Caenorhabditis elegans: one gene and its partner. The protein of the gene in region 2 purifies or fractionates together with the protein of the main gene of each other region. This does not show direct contact. Each region holds a gene or a part of one and is shown on either strand. Other genes may lie near its edges. The genes, in order: fbxa-171 and F53C3.1.

What was found.
Region 1: the proteins of F53C3.1 (region 2) and fbxa-171 fractionate together in Caenorhabditis elegans (co-fractionation; one large-scale study listed by BioGRID). This does not show direct contact.

What each region holds. Positions count from the first base shown.
Region 1 is NC_003283.11:17,559,577-17,569,222, forward strand, and holds fbxa-171 (F-box domain-containing protein), read right to left. Parts: upstream 6,428-9,646; coding exon 6,111-6,427; intron 6,068-6,110; coding exon 5,987-6,067; intron 5,648-5,986; coding exon 5,023-5,647; intron 3,826-5,022; coding exon 3,634-3,825; downstream 1-3,633. Other genes in the region: fbxa-172 (F-box domain-containing protein), read left to right, coding at 222-431, 477-560, 607-714, 763-975, 1,032-1,115, 1,161-1,797, 1,845-2,036.
Region 2 is NC_003280.10:3,907,717-3,916,024, reverse strand, and holds F53C3.1 (Protein kinase domain-containing protein), read right to left. Parts: upstream 4,010-8,308; 5' UTR 3,979-4,009; coding exon 3,940-3,978; intron 3,885-3,939; coding exon 3,545-3,884; intron 3,381-3,544; coding exon 3,181-3,380; intron 3,133-3,180; coding exon 2,830-3,132; intron 2,759-2,829; coding exon 2,654-2,758; 3' UTR 2,640-2,653; downstream 1-2,639. Other genes in the region: bcmo-2 (Beta,beta-carotene 9',10'-oxygenase), read left to right, coding at 5,193-5,402, 5,449-5,718, 6,031-6,591, 6,643-6,814, 7,044-7,268, 7,327-7,481; fbxb-103 (F-box associated domain-containing protein), read right to left, coding at 7,746-8,308.

The DNA of each region.
Region 1 (9,646 bases), on a different chromosome or scaffold from region 2:
GTAAAAGTTGTTTGGCGATAGTTGTTTAATTGAAATTAAATTACATGTGTATTATACCCTCACTTTTTTGAATTAAATTAGTAATTGGTTTATTTATTCATTTATTCAACACATATACGCAAGTACCAAAATTTTTTATTTTTCAAGACGTGGCGTCGGTTGTCTGCGTCTTGCTATACTTGTTGCGCAGCGAGGCTAGGTTTGAGCATAAATATTTTCAGGCCAATATCCCAAGGGGCTGTAACCATACCAAACAGTCAAATCGCAATTCGAACATGTATTCTCTATGAGCACCTTCACGGGAGGACGGTTACAGCGGCATATAGAAACTTTTGCAACAAAGTTGGGAATGGTGTCATTGATTTTAGATCCTTTGGATTTTGGTTTGATAGATTCCGAACAGGAAATCATGATTTGGGCTATGACATTGAGTGAGTAACAATAATCAGATTTCTTGTGCAAAATTCCGATTCCAGCAAGGAACTTGAGCCTCGATCTTTGGCAGAAATGCACAAGGACATTATGAGAAACATTTTAAGAGAGCTTAACTCTCAATCCCCGTAAGCTAAAATCTGAAAATGAAGAAAACTTACACTTGAAACTTAGAAATTCTCCTGGGTCTTCTGACCGCTACCAAAATGAAGATGAGTACTTTCCCGTCTACAACCAGCTCAAAGAGCTTATTCAAGAACTGAAAGATAAACAAGACCCAGTGTTGGTTTAACGTGTTGGCTCCCAAATGTTACAGTTAAAAATTTTCAGAAAACCCGTTACAGAACCCGTAAAACCATTTGAAAGCAATAGGAAAGTACTGTGGGGTTATATATTTTTCGAATGCTCTCAGAGTAATTCAATTTTTGAGGCTTATGAGAAAATGTGTGAAACTGTTGGAAAAAATGCAGTCAAGTACTGGGAGTTTGAATATTGGTATCAGAAGATTAAGGCAGGGGATTCCAGTATGGAATCTGACATTGAGTAAGTTTTGAGTTAATTTAACATTACCCACAATCTGCTCATTTTTCATATTTCAGTTTTGACAAAGAGATCCGATCAATGTCCGCAATGCCTATAGACATAGTTGGTGAGATAATGAACAAACTGGAATTAGAAGAAAAGTGTGTTTGATATCTGTGTACAAATCTATTAAACAAATTTTTCAGACTATTGATGCGAAAAGTTTCGAAGAGTCTTCGTGGCTTTATGGATAATCTGAACATTGGTGTCCGAAAAATTAGTCTAAAAATCTACAATACAAAATCAATTTTGCAATTTGATGAAAAGGAAGTGATCTATCAGGACAAAAAGGATGACTGTAATTTGTTGCTCAATGATCAAGAAAAACTTGTGAAAGGTGGAAACTATACAATAATGGCTTTGCATGATTGGTCAGTGGTCATGCAAAACCAGACACTGAAGCTCAAAACACTTAATTTAACGTTGGCATTGGGAAAATCTGAGCATTATCATAACTGCTACACAACTATCACGACTGTTGTCAAAAAGGCAATATGTTTGTTTGTAGAGAAAATCACACTTGAAGGATTCCAATTCAAGGAAGTTTATGACGTTCTAAGGAACTTTAAACCAGGAGTACTTGAAAAGATTGTACTTAACTCACCAACAGGCAGCAAAGGTATAGAATTGCTAATTCATATGAACCAATGGAAACAAGCCCGAGTATTTGAAAGCAGCCGAAACTGCATACTTGCAATGCCAATTGAGAATTTTTTTCGCTTCTCGAGATTTGACGTTTCCCTGAAATCTCTATCAAAGTTAGATGCGGTATTGATCCGAGAGGTTAGCAAAGATCTAATATAACATTTTTATTCAAAGAATTATTATAGAAACTGCTAAAGTCCAGTAATTTTAAACGTGGATGCTTCAGAATGTTCAACTATGATCCAATTGAAATTTTGAACGTATTTGAGCAAAATTATTCAGGAGGAACGTCTGGATCAATCACCTACAATGATGAAGAGTCGGAGTTCAGAATTCATTTTGATACAATGAACTTTGAAATTATTAAGTGTATCTGATTAAAAATTTTACTTTGTTGGGTGTTTTACTTTGTCTAGAAATTGCAGTATCAATGTGAAGCGTCTTAGGCACAGTAATATGAACTTTCAGATCCGAAGGAAAAATGAGGAGAACAGAACTCTCTGCCAATAATTGTTCACACATGATATGTTTCAACCTGATAAACTTTAATATAATCTGTTTTAATTTTTTTTTGTTCCTATGTTGTTGGAATTTTTTTGAAATTACGTTTGATTTTAAAAATAAGAAAGTAAATTGTTCATAAAAAGTAATCATACATTCTCCATTCGTTCGACTTATCATCATTTTTCAGAGCACATGGAAAAAGAGTTTCGGCAATTCTTTAGTCTCTTTGTCGTACAACTTCGTTTTTATCACCCGTGTTAAAAAAGAGAATCAAGCAGAAAAAACGAAAACGGTAAATGATAAGAGTTTTTTTTTTCAATACACACATGTTGTTTTACAATAAACATCGTGGAGAGTTTTTTTTCAATTCAATTTCTCTTCAAAATTTTTCAGTTTTTTATTGTCTCAATTTCAATTTTTGCTCGTGGTTTAAGCAATGCATGTTTTGCAGTATGTCCACAATAACAAGTTAATTCTTTTAGATAGTTGAAGTTGTAAAAAATGGATGAGTCCTCTGGGAAAAATACCACGAAAAACTGTGAAAAAACACCTGAATCACCGTGAGTTGTTCTGCAATTTTCAAGCAAAATTAGTTAGTTTTTTTTAATGTTTCAGAGTCCACACGCTTTGTTCGTCTCAAAGTGAGAAAAATCAATATCTTGGAAGTCACAAAAAACATGATTCATTGAATGATATTTTGGTTTGAGAGAAAAACATTAAAGCTGAACAAAAAAAAATTCAGGGAATGTCGTGTTCACCGGAAAGGATGCCCGTGAATCGTACACCAATAATTCCAGAGTGAGAAGAAGTTTCTTCATTAAAACATAAATAGCCACAATTTCCGTTTCAATTAAAACAATTATTATTTCTGACTGCTTATCTTCTGAAAATTAATAAGTTTAAAACACAAATATTTCAAGACCAATATTCCAAGTGGCTGTAACTATACCAAACAGTCAAATTGCAATCCGCGCGTGTATCCTTTATGAGCATCTTCACGGGAAGATGCTTACAGTGGCATATAGAAACTTCTGCGACAAAGTTGGGAATGGTGTCATTGAATTTGAGTCTTTTGAGTTTTGGTTTAATCAATTCCAAACTGGGAATCATGATTTGAGATATGATATTGAGTAATAAAAAAAACAATGATATTTGGACTATGGTTAAACTTTAGAAATTCAGGAATGCGCTTGAACCTCGTTCTTTGGCAGAAATCACTTCTACAGCCATGGCTTCTGGTGTGCTTTAGTAGAGCTGTAAGTCTTGTGAAGGTTGTAGGGAGTAATTGGGATATTCAGATCCGAAAGCAAATCAAGGAAATGTTTGGATGGAGCTCAGAGCAGCATATTGTCCAAATTCGATCTATTACAAGCTGAACAGTATTGTTTATGTACTGTTGAAAAATATATGTATGATTGCTACAACATAAAAGAGTTAAAAGTTATTTTATAAAAATCCGAATCGATAAAATTATATTATCCGTTTAACTTGAAATGAATTAGGAGTAATTTTCAAAAGGAATTTTTTGTTGTGTCGTGTGTAATTTATTATCGGCCATTGATTGCTTTGATATCCTGGTACGAATACATTTGCAATTTCAATTGGATCGAAGTCGTCGGATTCGAAGTTTGCATATTTGAAAGTGTCGGATTTCATCAAAATCTGAAACTATGTTAATTGTTTATACTTGAAGCGTAAAGTCTGCAGCAAATGCCTAAGCCTAAGCCTAAACTCCTAAGCTCAAGAGTAGTATAAGTCCCACACGACACCCCCATCCCACACCAGACCCCCCTATTGACCTCTCCCAAAATGGGGTGTCCATCTATGGATGTCCATTTATGGATGGCCATCGTTTTTTATTGATCTGTTTTTTTCGTTTATCATGGAACTGTTTTTTATTAGGAAAAAATGTTGTACTGTATGGGAGAAAATCTGAAATTAAAAAATATTTGAAATCGAGTATGTGGAATAAAATGTTTTCATTTACACTTTTAATATGTTTCATTGTGCACCCCTCCTCTCTATTACTCCGCCCCACTGCACAATCGAAAATCTCATAGTCAGTCTAAAGAAATTTAGAACATCATTATCCAAGTTGACACTTTCACGACAACAAGCCCCTACACTGAAAGTCATAACTCCTGGCCCTTCATATGGAGCTTGCAAGAAAACTTAGGTCATCCGAAAGCTGTGTGCACTATTAAAGAAATTTCTTTAGAATGAGTTTTTTGATTGTGCAGTGGGGCGGAGTAATAGAGAGGAGGCGTGCACAATGAAACATATCAAAAATGTAAATGAAAACATTTTATTCCACATACTCGATTTCAAATATTTTTTTAATTTCAGATTTTCTCCCATACAGTACAACATTTTTTTCTAATAAAAAACAGTTCCATAAAAAACGAAAAAAAAAACAGATCAATACAACAGAACAATAAAAAACGATGGCCATCCATAAATGGACATCCATAGATGGACACCCCATTTTGGGAGAGGTCAATAGGGGGGTCTGGTGTGGGATGGGGGTGTCGTGTGGGACTTATACTACTCTCAAGCGTGAGCCTAAGTCAAAAACTTCAGACTTAAGCTTCTTGGTGACCTATACGTCTCTCTGTGAAAATTCGCGTTGATCGGCCAACTGGAACCCTCTCAAAAATTTTAAAAAAAAACGGGAAATTCTTGAGCCTAAATACCGTCAGTGGCGAGCGTTAGATTGGCAAGCGTCAGCTCGCCAAGCCTAAGCCTGAGCCTAAACCTAAGCCTGAGTTTAGAATAAGATTATGCTTAGAACTGACCCTAAGACTAAACCTAAACCTAAGTCTAAGCCTAATCCTAACCCCTGAACCATTCAAAACTTACATCTCGAATTTTAATCGCATCATCTTTTGCGAAAAGATCCACAGTAACGTCAAAATAAGCTAGATGGAAGAACTTTTCAATGTTCATGGAGCAAGTGTCACTGTCAAAAATTAAAGCTTTTGCATTTTTCAGCTGAACTGTATCCATTAATTTTGTGCTATGGCCGTCTGTAGAAGAGGCAAAAAAGTGAACAACTTCGAGCGTTTTAGGCTCGAAGTACGGCAGGATTGCGTCGATTTCTTCGTTTTTCAATTCACAAACTAGTTTTCGGACTCGTAATTTGTTCATCGATCTCAAGACGTTCAATACATCGTTGAAAATGTTTTCCCGAATTTGCTCAGACATTTGTGCTTCAAAAAGTACGGAAAATGTTCGTGCGTCTTTAGTCACTACTGTATTGAAATCTTGAAGCGCTATTTTCCGATAATCTGTTCCTTTGATTTGAATTTTTCTGTTCTCGTAGATAATTGTGCATCCGTTTGGTACTGGGCAGTAGTTGACGGTTCTTTCGTTCAAAAATAGTCTTGCTTCATCTTTTTCGAAACATATTCCCATGGCGTTAAAATGAAATTCTTGTTGGTCAATTTTGTCACGGAGAATGCGCGAAACTTTTCTGGCCACGAATCTTGAAAAATTTTGGATTGAAACCATATTGACTTTTAGATGAAATTTATGCCATTTGAGAAATCGTTAAAAACATTTTTGGTCAAACATTTGTTTTAATTGTTTTTTGAAAACTTCCCAAAATTCATTTTTTCGGAGACATTTCAAGGTGTTTCTATAGTTGTAAAACTTCATAAAAAGACGATGAAAAAAAATACTTTGATGGAAAAACTCATCTGAATAATTCATATCTACTTTATTGCTACAATTTTTGCATAAGGACCTTTTTTGAATTACATGGGGTGTGTATAGAAGTCTATGACCACACGGTAAATATCATACTTTCTTTATAAAATCTCACCTATCGCAAAGTTCCATTTTGGCACAAATTTCATTCCAAACTTTTTCCGGCATATTCTGCAGGGAAGGTTCTTGTGGCTCACTGAAAAACATTAAAATTTTCTGTAAAGAAGCTTAGCACTTACCCATTAAAATATTCGACGAACTTCCTGCACCACTCTTTTTCGGAAATTTTGTGTGGAACGTCTGATGGTGGATTGATCGAGCAACGCAGATCATTGGAATTTCGTACTTCAATCTGCCTATTATCGTCCTGCAAGTCATGATTACCATTATAAAATCTATGAAACCAATATTCAAATTCTTTGTAGGCAATCTTCTCCTTCAAGGTGTTGCAAATTGTTTCATAGGCTTCATTCACAGTCTTTTTCTGGAGCACTTCGTAGAAAATACAAGATCGAATGAAGGTTTTGGAGTAAGGTTTTTGAGCGGTGGAAGTCATTTTGATATGATGCGCGCGGCAAAAAAATTACATCAAAATTTTAGACTTAGCAATATATCTTCACCGAATTCTTCAGTATTGACATTGGAGTTAGAGGGCACTTGCACTGCTGGAGAGTTAGTCAGAGAAAGGAGAACAGTCGAGCATGTTGTTTCGCAATAAAACATTTTTTTTTGTTGGGTTTATATGTCCTTCAGCAATTGCATTCTTGAACTGGCCTAAATAAGATGTCCTTGCAGATCCGGAAACAAACTGAGGGGAATGGAACTCTGTGCAACTACTTGCTCCACCTTCATATATTTCTAGCTGATGAACTGTAAAATAAATTTGTTTGTATTAGTTTTACCAACGTCTCTTTGACACTCGCCCATTCAAATAGTTACAACACCCTGTTCCATCCTCAGGGTTTTTCAGGATTTTCAAATTTTCGGCGATATGGGCCTACCGGCAAGCTTTTTCGAGATTTTTCCAGATATTAATGGTGTACCAATTTCCCAAACATTGAGTGGAAATTCCAAAAAATGGAAGACGATTGTTATAAGAAATGGTAAGAATATGATCTTAGTTACATTTTTGCGCATATTTCATCCCAATGGACGTTCTTGAAAATTTCTCACAATTTTCTGAAACAAACAAAAGATTTCAAACATTTTTGTGATATATTGCTAGCCACATTCGTCTAATTTTCCAAGTCACATTGTTCCAGTTTTGATATTGCTAATTTGGTAGACCTAATTCTGGTTTGATTCCTCAGTCTCTCTAGTCTCTTGGCGTTGTTGTATACGAACTGATATTATCTCCTCTGATCAAAAACCAAGTGTATTTGGCGAAAACACGCAATCCAAATAGGGATATAAATACGAAGAGAAGAAATTACCCCAAAAAGATCAGGCAAATCTACGGCAAATCAGTAAAGACTTTTTGTATTTTTCGTGGTTTTACTTCTCGATTTCAATTCAATTTATTTTTTGAAAGACTATTTTAAAGTGGTTCCGTCTATTTGTTTTTACATATGTAGTTTGGCTTTTGATCTTCTCCTTTCTAAAAATTGTATTCAATATTATGAGTTACTTTCCCTGCATTTTTCATTAAAAAGTATGTATTTGCCGCACATTCTCCATTCGTTCGACTTATCATCATTTTTTCAGAGAACATGAAAAAAGAATTTCTGCAATTCTTCAGTCTCTTTGTCGTACAACTTCGTTTTTATCTCCCGTGTTAAGAAAGAGAATCAAACAGAAAAACGCAAACAATAAAATTGATTTTAAAAAAACCGCTGTGACAACTCGTTTTCTCATAGCGCGTTGAAAAAATGCTTCTCGTTGTAATAGTTTATTCCAATTTAAATTTTTTTGATTTAGCAAGAAACGACTTTCTTAGTTCGTTTTTCAGATTATCCGAAAAACTAAACATTAGTAAAAATGGATGATCAGCTTGAAAAAAATTTAGAAGTAGGAGAATGGAAAAAATGTGAAGAAAAAGCAGAATCTCCGTGAGTTGTTTCGCAATTTTTCAGCAGAGTGAATTAAGTTTTTGTTAATTTCAGAGTTGGGAACCCTTTTCTACTTCATTATGATCACTTAAATCTTTGTGTTTGAATGCAAAAACACTGTTACTAATTAAGAGCGTAGTTTTTTAGGGAGGACCAACTAATTATGTGGGGATGCAAATTACACCAATAATTCCCAGGTGAGCAAAAATTCTTACATTAATACAGAAACAGCTGCAGTTCTACTACAATGGAACAATCAGTTGTTATATATACCGTATATTCTCTATTAGTGTTGTCGATTCAGCCCTTCGAGGTCAATCTCGACAACCTTTTTAACAGTGCTCTGATATAGGTTTCTACGGAATAGCCCACTATTCTTAACCTATATCAGCTCGACCGCACCGTTGAGCATTACTCCAATTATTATCTCTTCATTACATTTTATTTCATTCAAATCCGTTCAGTATTCGCCGAGATATAAATATATCTATAAATATTCGTATTCAAATCACGCGCCAACACCTTATGGTAGCGCGCTCGCGGCGAGACCCACGCGTCTCTAACTTCTTGGCATCGCGCCAAGTCCACCGACCGCCCGCGGGGAGTTCGAATATGTCCGTCAATTGTGACGTAATTGAATACCAATTCCGGTGTAATCTCCACGTATCGTTTTCCCTCACGTGCAGATATACCATCATGTTCGTTAGATTTATATCTTTAATAACAGTTTGAACTATTACCAGTCTAAATGACCCATTATCATCATTTCACCATCATATTCGCCAGACGAGGGTTTTTCACCATCTTAAGAACTTCTAATATCATCCTTATATGTTCTTTGCTGTATTTCCCTCATTTTACTTGTTTTTCCTATTTAGAGTCCTGCTCTACCCACACGGGAGAGGTTGTATAATAAATAGGTTTTTGAGTATTCCTTTGTTCGTCATACACCGCTTATCTTACACAATTCAGATGCTTTATCGGGACACACGGAGAGAGAGAGAGAGAGGTACCGGAGGCGTGATCGATACCGACTACTACCATCCTACACGCCCTCGACATGGTGCATCGAACCGGTGGACAAGGATCGACGTTTAAAAGGTAATCTTTCGTTCAAAAATCGATTAAAAATGCAAAAAATTTCGTCTAAAAATATCAAAAATTACCAAATTTATACCAAAATCTATCTTCAAAATTCCATTTTTCCAAAAAACTCTATCAAAATTCCTTTTTTTACCTAAAAAATCAATTAAAATCCAATTTCTATTCAAAAATCCATACCAAAATTGCATAAAAATCGATAATGAGCGGAAGATTTATTCTGAAACTCTCCTTGATTTCAACTATTCACAAAAAAGAACCCGTCGGACCGCTCTCTCCTCTCTGATGTACCTAGAAATCACTGAATTTCGAACAAATTACTCAATTATCCAAGTATATCCATCGAGTGTATCCTCAACATGATCCGAACGAGGAAATATTCCGTTGACTTCGAAAAAACTCTCAAGCGAATCGAGAAATCTATGCAAATCGATGATTTAGTAGAAAACTTCACTAAATCGAGCTGTATCGCTAAGAAGATCAGGCAAAAATGCCTCAAAATCGATTATCTGCTCAAAATTGTGTAGATTTATTATTTTTCTCATCAATTCTCACGAAAATTTCATGAAAATCATGCAAAATTCCCATTAAAATCCACTGAACCCCGATAAAATTCGTTGTTTACG
Region 2 (8,308 bases):
ATATCTGCCTACGTGCATAACACATACCTACCTGCTGCCTAGGCGCCTGTTTCCTGCCTATCTCATTAATGCATGCTTATGCACCTGTTCCCATGCCTGCCTTATGGCTTTCAATGTAGGCACTAGGCAGGCATTATAGTATCTGATCAAAAATCTCCAATTAATCGTGCCTTAAAAGCACCGGGAAACCGAATTTGTTGTTTATTTCCGACGAAAAAAAGGTCTGACTTGCTTTAATTTTTGGCCATGATCCGGATTCCACGAAAATCGTTGTTGTTTTGAGCTATAAGTATGGACATAAGTGATGTGTGGGTTGAAATTATGATTTTAAGCTATTTTCCCTTCTAAAATTCTTGCCTTCATCTTTGGCTTGAAAAATTTTCAAAATTTTTCTAATTTCTTTGAGTCAGTTTAAACTCAGAATTCTAATCATGAATTTTCCTCATTTTTTTTTTCATTTTTTTTTGGGACGAAAAAATTTGCAAAAAATTTTCCCGTGGTGGAGAGTTGAACTCACACATTCCTCGCTGGAAAAAACAGCTTCCAAAAGTGTGACGAAACAGGGTGTACGTAACCTAATTCGAATTATCAAATATTAACAAACTTACTAAAAGAGATATATTTGTGATATATGTGTCATCTTACAAAACATCATCAGTGCAAAATAAAGCGCCACGTTTTCCTTTTCAAATTGTTTCGGATTATTTCCAAATCCATTTATTAGATTATCTTCCTATTATCTCCAAAAAGTGCTCTGATCTTCAATCTATCACTTTTTGTTTATTTTGTTTTTGCTTTAAGCTTCGATGGCTCATAATCTGAGTTCCAGTCAAGCCGAAAAACTGGGCGGAGTTTAGAGAGGAGTTCCTTATATAAATGCGAGACGTTTTTTTCAAGAGCAAGATTTCCTCTTGGCTTTGAGATTCTCCTCAAAATGTTCCATATTCACCAAGAACCTATGACTTGTCCAATTGACCTTTGTCGCCGTGGATTCAGAAGACGCCAGCTCATCTACAGTACTCCTTCAACTACAGTAGCCTCCTAAGCTACAGTACTCCTTGATTCACCTCACTTGTGTCAACCTCTCCAAAATGGGCTTAATTTACGGATTTCATTTTTTTTTTTGCACTTTCTATGTTGTAAATATTTAGTAAAAATAAATAAACTGATTTTTTTTAAACCTGTTTTCATTTTGGTGTGTGCTCTTTTGTTCAGATTGCAGTAGCATGGCAAAAGGTTGCCATTTTCATAAATTTCGAGAAGGCTACGTAAGAAAGGTTCTATACAGATATAGAAATGACATTTGCAAGCTGACCTATGCAAAAGCGGTCATTAGGGTTTCGAGAGCATTTTTCAGCAGAACACAAAATGTAAAAAGTTTTGGGTGGCTCAAAACAAACGTCATCAGAAAATTGAAATCTCCAGCTGGATTCTCTGTAACTCCAACTGAAAATCGGCATATTCCAAGTGAAACTCTGAAGCTACATGGGGGCTGAACATTTTTTAAACTTGACCCAAATTTGGAACATATTTCTTGAGACCTTTTTATTAGAAGTGGGGTAGTCAACCCCAGAAAAGTAAGCTCCGAAAAAAGCTAACTCGCATACAGTTCTTATTTTTCCAAAAAATGAAACCAATTCCAGTTAGATACGTAGATTATAAAATCCCGGACTATAGGATTTTGTAGATTTTTAAAAATTAGGCAATGCATGGTAAGTCGATAAACCGGCCTACCTCTTTTTGATGAGCTCTAGAATTATTTAGAGTTTGTGACTACGGAGCACTGAGAACTAAAACCGTGAAACAAAAATTGTTTTGGAACTGTTCAACTTTCCGGAAATCAAAAAGGTATTATTCATCTTTGCTGCTGCCGCGTATTTTTGAACCCGCTCAACTTTATAAGTCCAGATTTATGAGAAATGACGCCTGGATTCTTGAGTTTGCTGTTTCACAAATAATCCTCTGATCTTCAAAGAATAAGTTTTGTTTTCAGACGTTTTAATCCCTACTTGCCCGGTTTTTGATGATTTCCTCAAACTTTGATAGTTTTTGGTTTCAAAATTTATTTTTTGAAAATTAAAGTTTTGACCATCAATGATTATCGATTTCCGATTATCAATTTCCAATAATCGATTTTTTATTATTGATTTTTAACACTCGATGTTCAATTAATGATTATTGATTTTCATTTATTGACTTTCAATAATTTTACGTTAATTTTGGAACTCCTCTAAAAAAGGCACCTTATGACGTATAGCTCAGCTCTCACATCAATTCAAAAATATAATTCCTGTTTTCGATTTATTTTCGAATTTTAACAACTACTTCCAAATTTTATGTAGTCACCCTTTCTTCGTTTTCTCGTCACAAAAAGTCACCAAGTTCTTCATTCAAAAGCTCATCTGTCCAAATTTTAATGCAATTAGCGGGCTGTGTCTGATGAGGAGGTGAAGCATGTAATCATGTGAATGAGTAGCTTCTGAATCAGAAGTTAAAAACAACTTTTGGTCTTTTTCAGGGGGTTTTTGAAGAAATTTGTCTGAAAATTTGTGAAAATTGGATTAAAAATACTCGGCAGTTTCAATAATCAATAATCAACAACACAAAAATCAACACTCAAATTTATTTACCAAAGAATCAAAATCTCGAACATTTATTTCTTCATAGATTTAGCAGTTTCAGTACTAGTTCCAGAAATTTCTTTGGGCATCTCCCAGTCGTATGGTGCATTGATGTCACATCCGGCGTTGGAGCAAGCCTGTAATTGGTCGGAATAAATTTAGAGGTGTGGTCAACGTCGCCGATTGGTCAACGTCCAAATAATATTACCTCTCCCAGCGCTTTGTAGATGAACTTATAGTCGATACGATCCTGGTAGGCTCTCGAGTCAATGTAATCCAGAATCTTGTTGAGCTCGGAGGTCTGCGGAATACCCTTGTACAGAGCCGCTCGGTTATCTTTCCGTGTGTTCTCCTTGATCTTCAGCACCTCGTTCTTGACTTTGCAGTGACGCCATGGAAGTCCTCCCTCGAGAATCAGGTCGATGAGAAGGTAGAACCAACTCTCACAATCATCCTTTGGCCCCATCTCGGTGTAACGGTGGCAGGAGAGCGGGGCGAAGCGGATGGTTCCCTGAAAATAGTTTAAGTTCAAAATGCCTGCCTATGTGCCTACACTCGCCTTGAACGCAACCGACTCCCTTGGCGTCTTCATCTCCTTCTTATCGTTCAGGTACTTGCGAGCAATTCCGAAATCCAGAATGTATATGAGATGTCTTTCATCATCCTGCCCACTGGCATAGTTTTGGGGTTTCAGGTCGCGATGGATGAATCCTTGCTTGTGCAGCTCCTCAACAGCTTCCAAACATTGACTTCCGACGCCTGAAAAATTGAAATTTTGTAGTTTAGGCTTAGACTTGGGCTTAGCTTAGCCTTAGACTTAGGCCTAGGCTTAAGCTCAAGCTTAGGCTTAGGCTTAGGCTTATAATTAGGCTTACGCTTAGGCTTAGGCTTCGACCACTTTATCTAACAAAAAAAATGCTTACCCATTCCTGTACCAAACGTGAAAATCTGATTGGGACGTTCCTTCTTCAAACCCGACAAACTTTTGCCAACAAGTTGCATGACAATAAAGAAATATCCTTCTTTATCCTTTTTCCCACGATCCTCAATCTTTGTGAAATGCTTACAAGTCCCAACAAGTTTCAAGATTGCAATTTCCATTTTCAGTTTTGAGTGTTTTCTAGTGTCCATCTTTTTCTCGACTTTCATTGCAAATTGCTTCTTGGTCTTGGCTTGCTCGACGAGGTACACTGCACCAAATCCTCCTTCTCCGAGAAGACGAACGACGGTGTAGGTGGCCTTGCTACTGCTGATTTCGGATCCCTGAAATTCAGCATATAAATTTCACGCAACTTCCAAAGATTTAAAAAAAACTTACAGTTTTGAAATTGATATCATCTTCCTCTTCTTGCGACATCCTGATTGAATTTTTCTATCTTTATTGTGCAATTATAAAGTAATAAAATTTTTTGGAGATTTTTCGTCCCGATAAGAAAACACGACCTTTGAAAAAAACCCACGAGAGTTACGTGATCACGTAAATATTTTTAAATTTTTAAAGTTTGTATTCATTTATTAATTTAATTTATTTATTTCCGATTTTCAAAAAAGTTTTAGACTACAAATAAAAAATGAAACATGCCAGTTTTCTGGAAGTTGCCCTGAAAAACTATATTCAATTTTCTAAAAATTTGAACTTTCCGTGGTACTGTGAAACAGGGAGATGTCGGCTGCTTCAAAAAATAATAAACCAGAAACTTTCAGTTTTTTTCGATTTTCTGATTCTCCAGTTTTCCGGCTTCTTCGTTGCCAGCCAGAATGATTAATTGTCACCTCATAAGAAATTTCGGTGTCACATTTCCCCAAACACCATTTTCTCTATTTTTTCTGTGCCGACCCCGTCACAAACTCCTTTGTGACCTAGAGTATATGCCCAGTTCTCTGATTCTCTGCCTTCTACGAGAGGAGATACACAAGGTAAACAAGCCACTTTTACACTCTATTTCTCTATGTTTTCAGTGCAATTTTTCAATTTTTCTTGGAGTTTTTTAGATAACAGATGAGTGACGCATATGATGTTATAGAAACGTGGAAAAATGGGTGGAGTTTGAGAAAAGGGTATAAATTGGAACGGGTTTTCTACTAGTTTTTTGATTTTACATTTTTTTTCTTCGATAACTGACTTTTGGTTTCTTTTTTTTTCACTATCTGATTGTGTTATCTAACACGTAGACCGGCCATCGGTTTACTTGTTTGACAAACTAACTTTCTAAATTTTCTGACTATTATAAGTTTACATGTTTTACTTTTCTCGGTTCTAAATTTCTATAGCAGCCGACTATTTACGGGTGGGGAGGTCTGTGAACTTTGAGAAAATTTCTGAACCCGTGAGGTGTCGGCTGCATCTTCAAATCCTCGAAATTTTACACTATTTCTTGAATTTTACATGTTTCGAGTATCTATTTTTATTTCTATCAGTACAGGCAATTTCTGAACCGGCGAGATGTCGGCCGCTTCTTCAAACTGCCAAAATTTTAATTTAGAAAAAATATTACAGATTTCCGAGCCCGCGAGGCGTACTTAAAAGCTCGAATAATTTTTATTTCCCAAACCTTACCATTTCCAGACAGCATGGAAAAGGAAGGATTCGCTCGGCTTTTCCACAATTTCGATAATGTGATCGAGCCTAAGTTATGCTCAACGTCTGGCTCGGTTCCAAGTTACCTCAAAGGAACAATGCTTCGAAATGGACCTGGAATGTTTGAGATTGGGGATACTAAGTATCAGCATTGGTTTGATGGTATGGGATTCATTCAGAGATATCATTTTGAGGATGGGAAGGTAAGTGGAAATATAAATTTACATATAAGTGAGTTTCTGGTTTTAGATGTACTACTCGGCTCGCTATCTTGAATCGGAAAACTATAAAAAAAACATGGAGGCGCAGAGAATTGTGACTGGAAGTTTCGGAACCGCATCCTTCCCGGATCCGTGTAAATCGATTTTCTCAAGATTTTTCTCAAGTTTTGTGCAAAGCGAGGGTATTCATGATAACGCCAACGTGGCATTCGCCCCAGTCGGAGATGGTTTGTACGCGTGTACAGAGACCCCGAATATGCATAGAGTTGATCTCGATTCGCTGGATACTTTGGAACCGGTAAGTGAACCTACACGCCTGCCTACTACCTTGGGCCTACATGCCTGCCTACATTCTCTTACCTACATGCCTACATACTGCCCTGTACATACTTACCTGTCTAGTGCATGTTACCTTTTTGCATACCTACTGCCTTGTTTCTACAAGTCTGCTGCTGCTGCCATTTACTTACACCACTCATGTCTTTTACCTTGTAGCTGCACGCCTGCCTACTGTTGTGCAATCCCATGCCTGCCTACTGCCTTGTTCCTATACGCCTACCTTGCACCTTTGACCAGTCGCGGAAACCAGAAACTCCCTTCTTTTTTTCAGGTTGACTTCTCCAAATACGTGGCACTTCACACGTGCACCGCTCATCAACTGTTCGATGAGAACGGCGACGTCTACAACATTGGCTCCAGATTCGGACCGGATGCAGCCCATGTCTTCACTGTCACTAAAAACCCCAAAAACCTACAATCAGACAGCGATCGCTCCTGGGAGCACACCACGAAAATTGGCGAGATCCGATGCTCCGAGACCTTCTACCCAACGTATATGCATAGCTTTGGAATGTCGGAAAATTATTTGATAATGTTCGAGTCACCGATTCGAATTGATATCAAAAAGTTTATTATGAAAAGGTTCATCACCACGACATTTCGGGATTGCATGAAATGGCATGCCGATAAAGATGTGAAAATTTTCATTTTAAATAAGAAGACCGGGGAGCAAGTACCTCTGAAGCTGAAAATGGCTCCATTCTTCACATTCCATCATGCCAACACGTTTGAAAGAGATGGATGTCTGGTAGTGGATTACTGTAGAATTGAGCAAGCCGGGAATTTTGACGCTTTGTTGATTGAGAACATGAAGACGGGAAATTTCCAAAACGTAGGCATTTTTAATTTTTAATAGGGGCATAATTATACTTTTTGTTTTTAGGATGCTCTCTTCCTGCCGTACCTCACCAGGGTCATTATTCCTCTGTCAATTCCAGACGGTGCCCAGCCGGGTGATGATCTGCTGAAGCCGTTGGGCTGGGCTAAGGGATGCTCTGCAATCTTCCAGGATGATGGGAAGATTCGACTGAAGGAGAAGCGAGTTTGTGATATTTGTAAGTTGAAAAGAAACACTTCTGTATACCTGAGTGTCTGCCTACCTCAGACGTAGGTTGTCTTGAGGGCAGGCGTTGAAGATAGGTATAGGTCGCAGAGTAGGCCTAGAGTACCTCGAAACTAGGCGTAGGCATGGTGCCTTAAAATTAGGAGTAGATTGAACACCTAGCTCACCTCGAAGGCAGGTTGCCAGACAATTTTGAACTCACCCGAAACCTCTATTTTCAGCTATGGAATTCCCTCGTTATCACTGGGAAAAGATCAACATGAAGCCGTACAACTACGTGTATGGCTCAAGTGTACTTGGAGCACAAAAGTCTGAAACTCTTCCCGGAATCGTGAAAGCCGATTTAGAGAACGGAGATCACAAAGTGTGGCGTCGCGAAAATGATAAACAAATCTGCGGAGAGCCCATTTTTGTGCCCAATCCCGAAGGGGTTCGGGAAGATGACGGTAAGATTTTTGAAAGCTTTTGAAGTTTTTGAGAAACTTGAAATTTCATAAATTTTAGGAATTCTCATCGTCCCAGTGATGACGATAAGCGATGGCCAACGTCCGTTCGTCCTAATTCTTGAAGCTAAAAATCTGACTGAGATCGCAAGATACACAATTCCAGAAGCAAGAATTCCACTTGGATTCCACGCATTTTATCAAGGAAGAACATAAATTGAATTTTCTTGAAATAATTGAGCATTTTAAATTAATGAACGGTTTATTAAAAATGGGAACATTGCGGGAAAATTGCAAAAAAAAATCAGTTGACAATTGAAAGACGGGGAATATATTAAAATGCTCAAAATTGGGAAGTGGAGGTTCTAGAGGAATTTCAAAAAAGTAAAAGAAAGGCGCCGACCAATCAGCCATCAATAATGGGCGTGGCCGAGACAGCTGATTGGTCAGCGGCGCTCTTATTTGCGCGGTGCTTATTATTCAAAAATGTTCCACAAACATGTTAAAAACGTGTTTACCATTATTTTGCTTCAACACAATTGTCGCGGTTGAGTCGAATTTCCTCTTCAACTGGAACATTGTTTCTCGATGTTCCATAAGATCACTCGGAAGCTTGGAGATTTCAGCTTCGGACGGAATGCTAAAAGGCAATCCTTTTGAAATATCCTCTGAAACTAGCGGTGTTGTATAAATAAAATAAGCGTTAGTAAGTCGTCGATTGGATCCGTTGAGCCAATGTTTTAGGAACATGTTGATGTCAGGGAATGAAAATCTTGCTTCAATAACCACCAGATTCCGGGAGTTGCTTAAAAGTAAGTTATCCAGGCTAAAATTCCAAGTGGCACCTCTGGACACGTATCCGAAATCTTTCAGATTATGTGGAAGAGCACTCGAAATTGCCTTTGTAGACTCAGCTCCGGTTGCACAGATTATAAACGTGTTAATAGGAGAAAAGTTCCGGAAAATGCTCCGTTGATAGCTTTCGGAGCATTGCTGAACGGTGAAGCAGTCCACCTTGAAGCCTTCCAGTGAGTCTCGTAGAT